2 linked regions of the Caenorhabditis elegans genome follow. The protein of the gene in region 1 purifies or fractionates together with the protein of each later gene. This does not show direct contact. Each region holds a gene or a part of one and is shown in the gene's direction. Other genes may lie near its edges.

The links.
Region 2: the proteins of phdh-1 (region 1) and pgm-2 fractionate together in Caenorhabditis elegans (co-fractionation; one large-scale study listed by BioGRID). This does not show direct contact.

Annotation. Positions count from the first base shown.
Region 1 is NC_003280.10:13,635,951-13,640,642, reverse strand, and holds phdh-1 (D-3-phosphoglycerate dehydrogenase), read left to right. Parts: upstream 1-2,162; 5' UTR 2,163-2,163; coding exon 2,164-2,461; intron 2,462-2,813; coding exon 2,814-3,176; intron 3,177-3,241; coding exon 3,242-3,549; 3' UTR 3,550-3,724; coding exon of another isoform or gene 3,725-3,750; 3' UTR 3,751-3,774; downstream 3,775-4,692. Other genes in the region: tag-10 (Protein TolB), read right to left, coding at 3,819-3,892, 4,371-4,424.
Region 2 is NC_003281.10:13,296,862-13,303,260, forward strand, and holds pgm-2 (Phosphoglucomutase-2), read left to right. Parts: upstream 1-2,516; 5' UTR 2,517-2,517; coding exon 2,518-2,677; intron 2,678-3,355; coding exon 3,356-3,702; intron 3,703-3,768; coding exon 3,769-3,935; intron 3,936-3,992; coding exon 3,993-4,286; intron 4,287-4,354; coding exon 4,355-4,518; intron 4,519-5,115; coding exon 5,116-5,771; 3' UTR 5,772-5,899; downstream 5,900-6,399. Other genes in the region: npp-18 (Nucleoporin SEH1), read left to right, coding at 1-61, 117-227, 273-334, 386-453, 504-891, 1,479-1,735, 1,786-1,925; Kinesin-like protein klp-19, read right to left, coding at 6,160-6,399.

The DNA of each region.
Region 1 (4,692 bases):
TCATCAAAAATCACAACAGTAATAAGTCCCATACTAATTTTAAAGTTTGACATTCATTTTTGTGAAAATCTTGAAATTTTTAACTATGAGCTATTGAAATATTCCTTTTATTCCCGACAAAACCCTCCGTTTTGTTCCAATATTTGCCCATTATTTATTCATACACCCGTTTTGCACCCATTTTTGTGTATTCCGCTCGCGTCTTTTGTTTTTCTCTCTATCTCTCTCTCTCTCTCTAAATGTGTCACATTTTTGTGTGTTGCCCATCTTCTCCTTCTACGTTCGTTTTTTGTCTCTTGCCGCTCGCTGACCATAAACGCATTTTCTCTCTTCTTTTCGGTGTGTTTTCGGTGTAACTATGCTGAAAATATAATTTATTTTTGAAGTTTTAGCTTCTTAGGACTCAATATCTTTAAATTGGTTTAGAATGTTTTGTGATGACGTTGTCACAACCGAAAAATTTAATTAACAAGAATTATTGTTGTTGGAATTATTTTAACTTTCTAAAAATTCAGTTTTAATTGTTTTTGCCCATAAAACGCTGTTGAAAATTTTTTGCCAAATTAGAAAATTGCCAAAAATTGAAATTCTCCTCTAATTGCCCAACTCCCAAAATAAAACTTATCCCAAATTGGCAACTTGTCAAAATTTATACCTCATGCCAAATTGGCAGATGGCCAAAAATTAAAATTCTCGCCAAATTGGCGAATTGCCAAAAATTCAAATTCTTGCCTAATTGGCAAAGTGCAAAAAAAAGGAAATTCTTATCAACTTGGCACAATGCCAAAAATGGAAAGTCCGTCAATTTGGTAATATGGCAAAAATTCTAGATTCCACCAAATTGGCAGATTGCCAAAAAATGAAAATCCTAGCCAAATTGGCAATTTCAAATAATGAATAATTGCCAATTTGCCAGAAAAAAGAAATTCTTGCCAAAAATTACATTTCCGCCAATCCGGCAAAATGGCGAAAATTAAAATTCTTGACAAATTTGCAGATTGCAAAAAAAAGCTTACCTAATTGCCAAATTGGCACTATGCCAAAAAGGAAATTATTGCCAATTTGCCAAAAACTACATTTTTTGCCAATTTGGTAATATGATCAAAATATAAAACTCTTGCCAAATTGGCAAATTTTTTGGCAATTTGCCAATTTGGCGAGAATTTAAATTTTTTTTGCAATTTGCCAATTTGGCGAGAATTTCCTTTTTTGGCAAATTGGCAAGAATTTCCTTTTTTTTGGCAATTTGCCAATTTGGCGAGAATTTAAAATTTTTTTGCAATTTGCCAATTTGGCGAGAATTTCCTTTTTTGGCAAATTGGCAAGAATTTCCTTTTTTTTGGCAATTTGCCAATTTGGCGAGAATTTAACATTTTTTGCCAATTTGCCAATTTGGAAAAAATTTCCTTTTTTGGCAATTTGTCAGTTTGGCAAGAATTTTCATTTTGGTAAATTGGCAAGAATTTCCTTTTTTTGGCAATAATTTTCATTTTTCCCAATTTGGCATGAATTTTCTATATTTTTTTTGTAGTTTGCAAATTCGGCAAAAATTTCAATATTGACAATTTGCCAGTTTTACATGAACTTAAATTCCTGCCAAGTCGACAAAATGCCAAAAATACAACATTTTTTCCCGTTTTTCAAACTTTCCCCATCTAGATACTTTACTCCCATCTACCCCATTGTGTGTGTGTTCTCTGACGTCGACTGACCATAACTGATAACCGCCATTTTGACCTCAACGACGTTTCCTGTTCTTCGTTTTTTCCTCCTCCACCCCCGGCCAGTCAAAACTTGCTATCTAGCCTCCACCATCAGCAGCATCAGCCCATAAATATCGTGTTGTTCATGCAGTCTTTTTGTGGTGACTCTTCCTAATACCATAATCGATATATTTATATCGACGCTGTAAATCTTTGTTTTCACCTTATCTCGGCAAGATCGATGAATATAGTCATTGTCTACGTGACTTTTACAATCTATAATTGACCTGGAAAGGGGCGGGGTAGCGTCTGAGATTACGTCACTTTGCGTGACATTAGAGGGTATATAAGAACAATTATTTTGCGTTTTTTAAAGATTTTTCTTTTATTTTTTTTTAGTTTAAAACTGTATATTCTCTTTTCAAATTACTATTCCAAAACTATACTCCCAATTTCCAGAATGAGCGCCCCAATCAACAAAGTCCTCATCGCCGACGACATCGAGCAGGAGTGTGTCGACATTCTGAAGCAGAACGGAATCGAGGTGACCGTGAAGACGAAGCAGACGAAGGACGAGCTTCTCGTCACCTTGCCACAGCACGACGCCGTCATTGTTCGCAGCGCCACGAAGATCACCGCCGAGCTGTTGGCTGCATCAGCTGGGAAGCTGAAGCTTGTTGGAAGAGCCGGGACTGGAGTTGACAATATCGATGTGCCAGCCGCATCGGCGAACAAGATTCTCGTGATGAATACACCACGTGAGTTGGGAGGGTTATTTGACGAATGGGGTTTAGGTTTGAAAGTTCTAAAGTCACATGGCTGGGGAATTCCCCAAACGCACGTGTCTCATTTCGGTTTGATCTACGTAGATCTACAAAAAATGAGGAAGAAGTGACGCAGAGTTCTCAACTGATTTCGCTTTGGGCAAAAAATTCCCGCATTTTTTGTAGATCAAACCGTAATGGGACAGCCTGACACTACGTGTAAACGCATGACTTCAAAAACAGGCCGACCTAGGCGAAGGACGGGCCTATTCTAAAAAATGGATGGCTTTAACAGAATTTTTCAACAGAACTTTACCGGTTTATATTTCAAATTTTATTTTTCCAGAAGCCAACTCCCGTTCTGCCGCCGAGCTCACGTGCACACTCATTCTCTCCCTCTCCCGCCACGTTCCACAAGCCGCCGCATCGATGAAGGCCGGCAAATGGGCCCGCAAGGATTTCATGGGAGAGGAGGTCTACGGACGCACCCTAGCCGTTCTCGGCCTCGGACGAATTGGATCTGAGGTGGCCGTCAGGCTTCAGGCCTTTGGAATGAAGGTTATTGGATTTGATCCAATGGTCACGAAGGAGCAGGCTGAGGCGAAGAACATTGAGCTGCTCTCGTTGGAGCAGATTTGGCCACAGGCCGATTATATTACGGTCCACGTACCGCTGATCAAGCAGACTGAGAATTTGATCAATAAAGAGAGTAAGTTAAGCATTTTTAAAAGTATTTTATTTAATCCAAAATTTATTTATCTAATCATTTTCCAGCCCTCGCGAAATGCAAAAAAGGAGTCCGTATCATCAACGTGGCGCGTGGAGGAATTGTGAACGAGGTCGACCTGGTGGAATCCCTGAACGCTGGACACGCCAAGGGAGCAGCATTCGACGTGTTTGAGCAAGAACCACCAACGTTCAGAGAGCTCATCGATCATCCACTCGTCATTGCGACACCACATCTCGGAGCATCAACGATTGACGCGCAGCTCCGTGTCGCATCGGAAATCGCCGATAACATTGTGCAGTACAATAAGGGAACTATGCTCGGAGTTTTGAACGCACGAGAGGTGCTCAACTAATTTATTTGTGTGTTTATTTGAATTTTCGCCCATATTTTCTGTTTATACGAGATCATTTTACATTTTTACAATACATTTTTTGTGAGTTTAAGTCGTTTTCGCATACAACCATTTTTTTTCAGTTTTATTCATAAAAATACATAAGAAAATCGATAAAAAACCAACAAAAAAAAAATTATCCTCCTCGAGACCACCACCATTCTGAAATAAAAAGAGTCTAGTAAATTTCAGGTGTTACTGGAAAATTACCAAAAAAGTACGGAATCAGATTAGTAGAGGCATGCAATTAGAAGAAGTGAGAACATTGACAGGAGTGATAGGTGTGCGGATGGTGACGTTGTTGCTAGAACATACAAGTTATATTATGCAGACTACAAACTACAAACTATAACTACAAACTATAATTGCAACGTAAGTACTAATGTAAATGCATTGCAAAGCATTATTCAAACATTACGCTAGAATACAACAATTACTACAATTCAACTAGCACATGCTTTTTTGATAGGATATACAGTTATGCTACAAACTACACATACTACAAACTACACTACAAATACTATAAACTACAATCTCGAGGCTACAAACTACAATACCAACTACCAATGCATGGTAGTATTAAAAAAAAAAGTCAAATGCGTAAAACTGCAATTTATATACTACGTACAATGTATATACTATAGTTTGCAAATTTTTAAAGCTAGAAACTACATAATGCATACTATAAACTACAAACTACAAACTAGAACTAAAAGTGATGCAACATTCGTTGCAAGCCCAGTAAAATATACGCATGCATCTCAAAAATATGGTTCACTTACTTCCTGGCGTAGTTGTTGTCACTGTTGGAGCAGCCGGAGCAGCCGTTGATGGTGCTATAACAGTATAAACCACAAACTACAATATATCAACTACAAGCTATAAAATTTCTAATGTATTTCAATGGACGAGTCAATTCATTATTCAAAAATTAAGCTGAAACTGCAATTCAAGTAGCACATATTTATGTGATAGAAGATATACAGCTATGTTACAAACTACACTAAAAATACTACAAACTACAATATAGAAACTACAAACTACAATACCAATTTTATAAACTGAATACATGCATAGTAGTATCTATAAAAGTCGATTGCGTAT
Region 2 (6,399 bases), on another chromosome or scaffold:
AGAAGACGACTCGGTGAAACCTTTTCAGACCGTCGGCGCTCACAGAGATCTCATTCATTGTGTATGTTGGCTTGATTTCGAAAAATTAGATAAAAACTGAAGATTTTTATTTCCAGGTTTCATTCGATCCTCATGGCCGACGAATGGCAACATGTGCCAGCGATATGACAATGGCGATTTGGGATCGAAAGCCAGACGGAAATTGGCGTAGATCTGCACACTGGAAGGTAGAAAAGAAATTTCAGAAAATAAAATAATTTTCCTCATTTCAGTGTCATGGTGGAGCAGTTTGGCGCGTTATTTGGGCTCATCCGGAATTTGGGCAGATTGTTGCGTAAGAAACTAGAAACTGTCACCCGAATATACTTTATTGATTGATTTTCAGCACCTGCTCCTACGACAGAACGATTGTAATTTGGGAGGAGCAAATTGTGAGATCAGAGAAAGATCTGAGTGAGTATAATTCGCTCTAAATATAATCCAAAACATTATGTATCTCTCAGAGCAAAAAGAATCCCAATGGATCCGAAGAACAATCATCTCCGATAATCGTTCAGACGTCACCGATATCTGCTTCTCCCCGCGCCATCTGGGTCTCATGATGGCATCATGCAACGTTCTCGGAACCGTCAGAATCTACGAAGCACCGGATATTGTGGACGCTTCTCGATGGAATCTTATTCACGAGCTTCAAGCGTTTCATACCCGATGTGGATGTGTCACATGGTCACTTTCTCGTATGCACCGCCCGTTGATTGCTGTTGGTTCGGATGAGAAGAAGGCAGAGAACAAGAAACGAGTTGTGATCTATGAGAATATTGATGGATTGAGGAAATGGCAGCGAATCAACTCATTAGTCTTCGATCTACCATGCCCGATTACTGATTTGAAGTAGGAAGAACACGCTCTCCTCGGAGCCGAATAATTATTACAGCGCGCTTGCCTTTCCATTGAAAATAGCAGATTTTTCAGTATTAAAAAATCCGCTCTTTGAATAATTTTTTGTCTAGAAATTCCAAAAAATAATCGAATTTTCTAAAATCCGATATTTATCGGATTTGTGTCTAAAAATTTCAAAAACAATCGTATTTTCTTGAAAAATCCGCAATTTTATCAATTTTTTGCCTGAAAATTTTAAAAATAATTGAAATGTTCTGAAAATTCCGCTATTTTAACAAAATTCAAAAAATATTTAAAATTTTCTTGAAAAATCCGCTATTTTAACAATTTTTTGTCTAAAAATTCCAACAAAAAAAATTGAATTTTCTGGAAAAGTCCGCAGTTTTATCAATTTTTTGTCTGAAAATTCCAAAAATTATTGGAATTTTCTTGAAAAATTCGCTATTTTAATAATTTTTGTCTAAAAATTTCAAAAAAAATCGAATTTTCTTGAAAAATCCGCTATTTTATCAATTTTTTGTCTGAAAATTTCAAAAAAAAATTTCCGCTATTTTAACTATAATATTTAAAATGTTCAGATTCTCGCCGATATCGATGGTGGATTCGCATCAATTAGCCGTTGCATCAGGCGATGTTCACGTCTACAACATCAAAGTGGCTCGTTCGGCGATTCTCGAAGAAGACGGTGTCGAGAATCCGATTCAGCTGGCGGATTACAATCTGATCAAGGTGGCACTGCTCGGGGATCATCGAAAAGCATGGAGGCTTCGATATAATCTCATGGGATCAGTCATCTCGTCGACGAGCTTGGATGGAACACTGAGATCCTGGAAATGTTGGGAAAAAATCAAAAAGAGTCAAAAATGAAATAAAATTGATTTTCAGCACTCTTCGTGAACCAATGGGTAAAGCTGAGTGAGATGAATGTCGACGACTACGTTCCATCGCCTGAAGAAGTTCGCGCCTTCATCTCATCGAAAACTACCGAACGTCTTCCATCACAACTCGAGAAAACCTATTTCTAACGATATTTTTCTCTATTTTTTCTCGCCGATCATTTTTTTTCCGAATGATTTCTTATCAAAGCGTGTATTATTATTTGTTATCATCATCTGAAAACTGAAAACCGAGAACATTATCACCGATTTTTTTTTGATGTTTAAGTATTTTATCAATCTTCTGTTTAATTTTCAGATTTTTCATGCTGATCGGTTTCTGCAAGAATTAAACATTCCACTTATCTAACTTATGTAATTTTCAACGGTTTTTGTGCCTAGAAATATTTTTTGGACGTTTTTGTTAATTCTTTTTGCATTCAACATTCACCTAAATTCGAAAATTAAATATTTACTGAAACCCGATACTGTCTTTTTCACAGTTTCCACAATACCTCCATCAATTATTGTTGATTTTATCTCTTTTCCAAATCTAGGGATAGTGGGTTACTCGCAGAGAAATAGAGAAACGGCAAGGTCATTTACCTGGCCTTTTCTCATCCACACATGTCGGAATAATTGTGGTATTAGTGTCCTTATCTGCAAAATTTCGATTTTTTAAAACTTTTGTTGTCTTTTCCACAATTTTATTGCAAAATTTAAGCACTTTCTAATTTTCAGAATGACTCTTGGATGTGCAAAGCTTGACAAGCAAGTTGCCGATTGGCTCGCTTGGGATAAGAATGATAAGAATCGTAATGAAATTCAAAAGCTGGTTGATGAGAAGAACGTTGATGCATTGAAAGCTCGTATGGATACTCGATTGGTTTTTGGAACTGCTGGTGAGAAGAAAATAATATTACACAGCTGCAGTGTGTAAACGGTGGAAGAAACGCAGCTATATTGGGACAAAGGGAGGAAGACCCGAAATTGTGTAGATTTACAGAGTGTGAATCTTCATTATTACGGGAATGCATATTGCGCAACTTATTTGACGCGCAAAATATCTCATAGCGAAAGCTACAATAATTCTTTTAATGGCTACTGTAGTCAATTTTCGAAACAATCTGTATCTGTCGCTATTCGAAAAACATTTATTCTCGAAAACCGAGCCCACACGTGGAGTCAGAAAGTCCCATTTCGCTTTGATCTACAAAAAATGCGGGAGAAGAGACGCAGAGTTCTTAGCCGAATTCGCATGGTTAAGAGCGTGCTGGCGCCACATTTTTCTGGTAAAAAATTCCCGCATTTTTTGTAGATCAAGCTATATTGGGACAGCCAGACACCAAGTGAGCCCATAAATCTACACAAGCGCTACACTAGTTTAAAGAATTACTGTAGTTTTCGCTACGAGATATTTTGCGCAATGCGCATTCTCAAAGATTTGTGTTCCCGTATCACACGGTCCCCACATCTCTGCGTCTCTCCACTGTCTACACTCTGAAGAAGCTGGGTGATATTAACAGGAGAACAGTAGAGATTCAAAAGTACAGCTCAAAATATAAACGTATTTTTTCCAGGTGTCCGTTCTCCAATGCAAGCTGGATTTGGACGCCTCAACGATCTTACAATCATCCAAATCACGCACGGATTCGCTCGACACATGCTGAACGTCTATGGACAACCGAAGAACGGAGTCGCCATCGGATTTGATGGACGTTACAACAGTCGACGTTTCGCAGAGCTCTCGGCGAACGTCTTTGTTCGTAACAATATTCCAGTTTATCTTTTCTCTGAAGTCTCTCCAACTCCTGTTGTCTCGTGGGCAACGATTAAGCTGGGATGTGATGCTGGACTTATTATTACTGCATCACATAATCCAAAGGAAGACAATGGATATAAGGCGTACTGGAGCAATGGAGCTCAGGTAAATAGATCAATATTTAAGATTTAATTCTTTTTAAGATTAAAAAAGAAAAGGTTTTTTTTGCAGATCATTGGACCACATGACACGGAAATTGTTAGAATCAAAGAGGCCGAGCCACAGCCGAGAGATGAGTACTGGGACTTGAGTGAACTCAAATCTTCGCCACTTTTCCATTCAGCTGATGTTGTAATTGACCCGTATTTTGAAGTTGAGAAATCGTTGAACTTCACTAGGTTTGTAGAAATTTTAAAAAATCGTTTAAAAAAAGGTAAATCCAATAATATTTTCAGAGAAATCAATGGCTCAACTCCGCTGAAATTCACGTATTCCGCGTTCCATGGAATCGGCTATCACTACACAAAACGAATGTTCGCCGAATTTGGATTCCCAGCTTCATCGTTCATTTCGGTGGCCGAGCAACAAGATCCAAACCCAGATTTTCCAACAATTCCATTCCCAAATCCAGAAGAAGGACGAAAAGTGCTCACGCTGGCGATGGAAACTGCCGATAAAAATGGATCGACAGTTATTTTAGCCAACGATCCAGACGCCGACAGAATTCAAATGGCCGAGAAGCAGAAAGAGTAAGTTTTTTGAATTTCCAAAATATATATTTTAAAAAATTTTATTTTCAAAAAAATTCAATTTTCAGCGGCGAATGGCGTGTGTTCACTGGTAATGAGATGGGCGCTCTCATCACTTGGTGGATTTGGACAAACTGGAGAAAAGCGAATCCGAATGCTGATGCATCAAAAGTATACATTCTGAATAGTGCTGTGTCCTCACAAATTGTCAAGACAATTGCTGATGCAGAAGGTGAAATTTAATTTCGAAAGAGAAAAATTTGCTTTTTGATGAAAAAGATACAATTTTTTCAAAAAAATGCTGAAATTAAACCGTGCGGCAATGTTGCAAAACCGCGTACCGCGGAATTGCGTGTCCGCGGCACGCCATTTCGCAATTTCGCCGCATGGTTTTAGTTTTTTCCTAATTTTTAAAAACAATCTTGCAAGATTTTGATAAATACGAAAAAGAAGCCGAGTTTTTTTTTTGAAAAACATTGAAAAACGAAAATTTTCGATTTTCCGGAAAATCTAATTATATTTTTTAAAAATCAGAAAATTAACAATAATATTCGAATTTTTATCCAAGTTTTGTAAATTTTGATGAAAAACTACATAAAGAAACCTACAATTTTCTTTTAAAACTTTTTTTAAAAATCGAGAATCGAAAGAAAAACTTTCGTTTTTCGATTTTAGTTGAAAAAAAAATTCGAATTTTTTTCGTTCTACCGACTAAAAATCAACATTTTTGAAGAATTTTAAGTAATTTTTGCCAAAAAAAAAGCAGCAGCCCTGTTTAGAATATAAAATATTAAAATTACAATTAACAAAAAAAAACTATAAAATTCAGGCTTCAAAAACGAGACCACCCTGACCGGATTCAAATGGATGGGAAATCGAGCCGAGGAGCTCCGTGCCGATGGAAATCAGGTCATTCTGGCGTGGGAAGAATCGATCGGATACATGCCAGGGCATACCATGGACAAGGACGGCGTGTCCGCTGCCGCAGTTTTCGCCGAAATCGCCGCTTTCCTTCACGCGGAGGGAAAATCGTTGCAAGACCAGCTGTACGCTCTCTACAATCGATATGGCTTCCATTTGGTCAGATCCACTTATTGGATGGTACCGGCTCCGGAGGTCACCAAGAAGCTCTTCAGCACATTGAGAGCCGATCTGAAGTTCCCGACGAAAATCGGAGAAGCCGAAGTGGCATCCGTGAGAGACTTGACGATCGGATACGACAACTCAAAGCCCGACAATAAGCCCGTTCTTCCACTCTCGACTTCCTCGGAAATGGTGACTTTCTTCCTTAAAACTGGAAGTGTCACTACTCTCCGAGCATCTGGTACTGAGCCAAAAATCAAGTACTATATTGAACTCATCACTGCTCCGGGAAAAACGCAGAATGATCTGGAAAGTGTGATTTCTGAGATGGATCAACTCGAGAAGGATGTCGTCGCTACACTTTTGAGACCACAGCAATTTGGACTGATTCCAAGAAAATAAAAATTTTTGTCTTGAATAAGAATCAAAAAATGTTTATAAATCTATTTGCATTCCGATATATTGTAGTCTTCTTCTATTGTGATAATTAATTTTTCAATTTATTTCCCCAATAAATTACTGAACGTTCTAAAAGCTGTACGCAAAACCAAACGAAGACATTAAAGTGTGTAAACTTTCAATTTTATTGAAGCATTTTGAGAAAAAATGGATAAGAAAAATGCCTAATAGGTTTACTTAATTTAAAATCATCTATTTAAGACAGAATGGGGGGTCAAACGACACAATTTAGTACCCGAATACTATTATTCACAGTAAAAGTTAATTAATCATTAGTTGACAGGAGGAGGCATTGGTGTGTTAAATATTTTTCACACACAAAACTTGGAATTTAGAGCGGTCCAAGATCCGTTCGACGACTCTTTCGCTTGATGGGAGGAACACCGTCTGCTTCCGACGTTGGAGCTGCACCGATCACGAATGTTGAGTTGGAAGGAGACGGTTGCGAATCGTCCAACACAATAGTGGCAGAATTGAACGAATCTTTGACGAAGGTGGCATTGTTCATTGCCTCGTTTTCAATGTCTTCATCTTCTTCTGTTAGACGGGTATCATCGTCACATTTGATTGG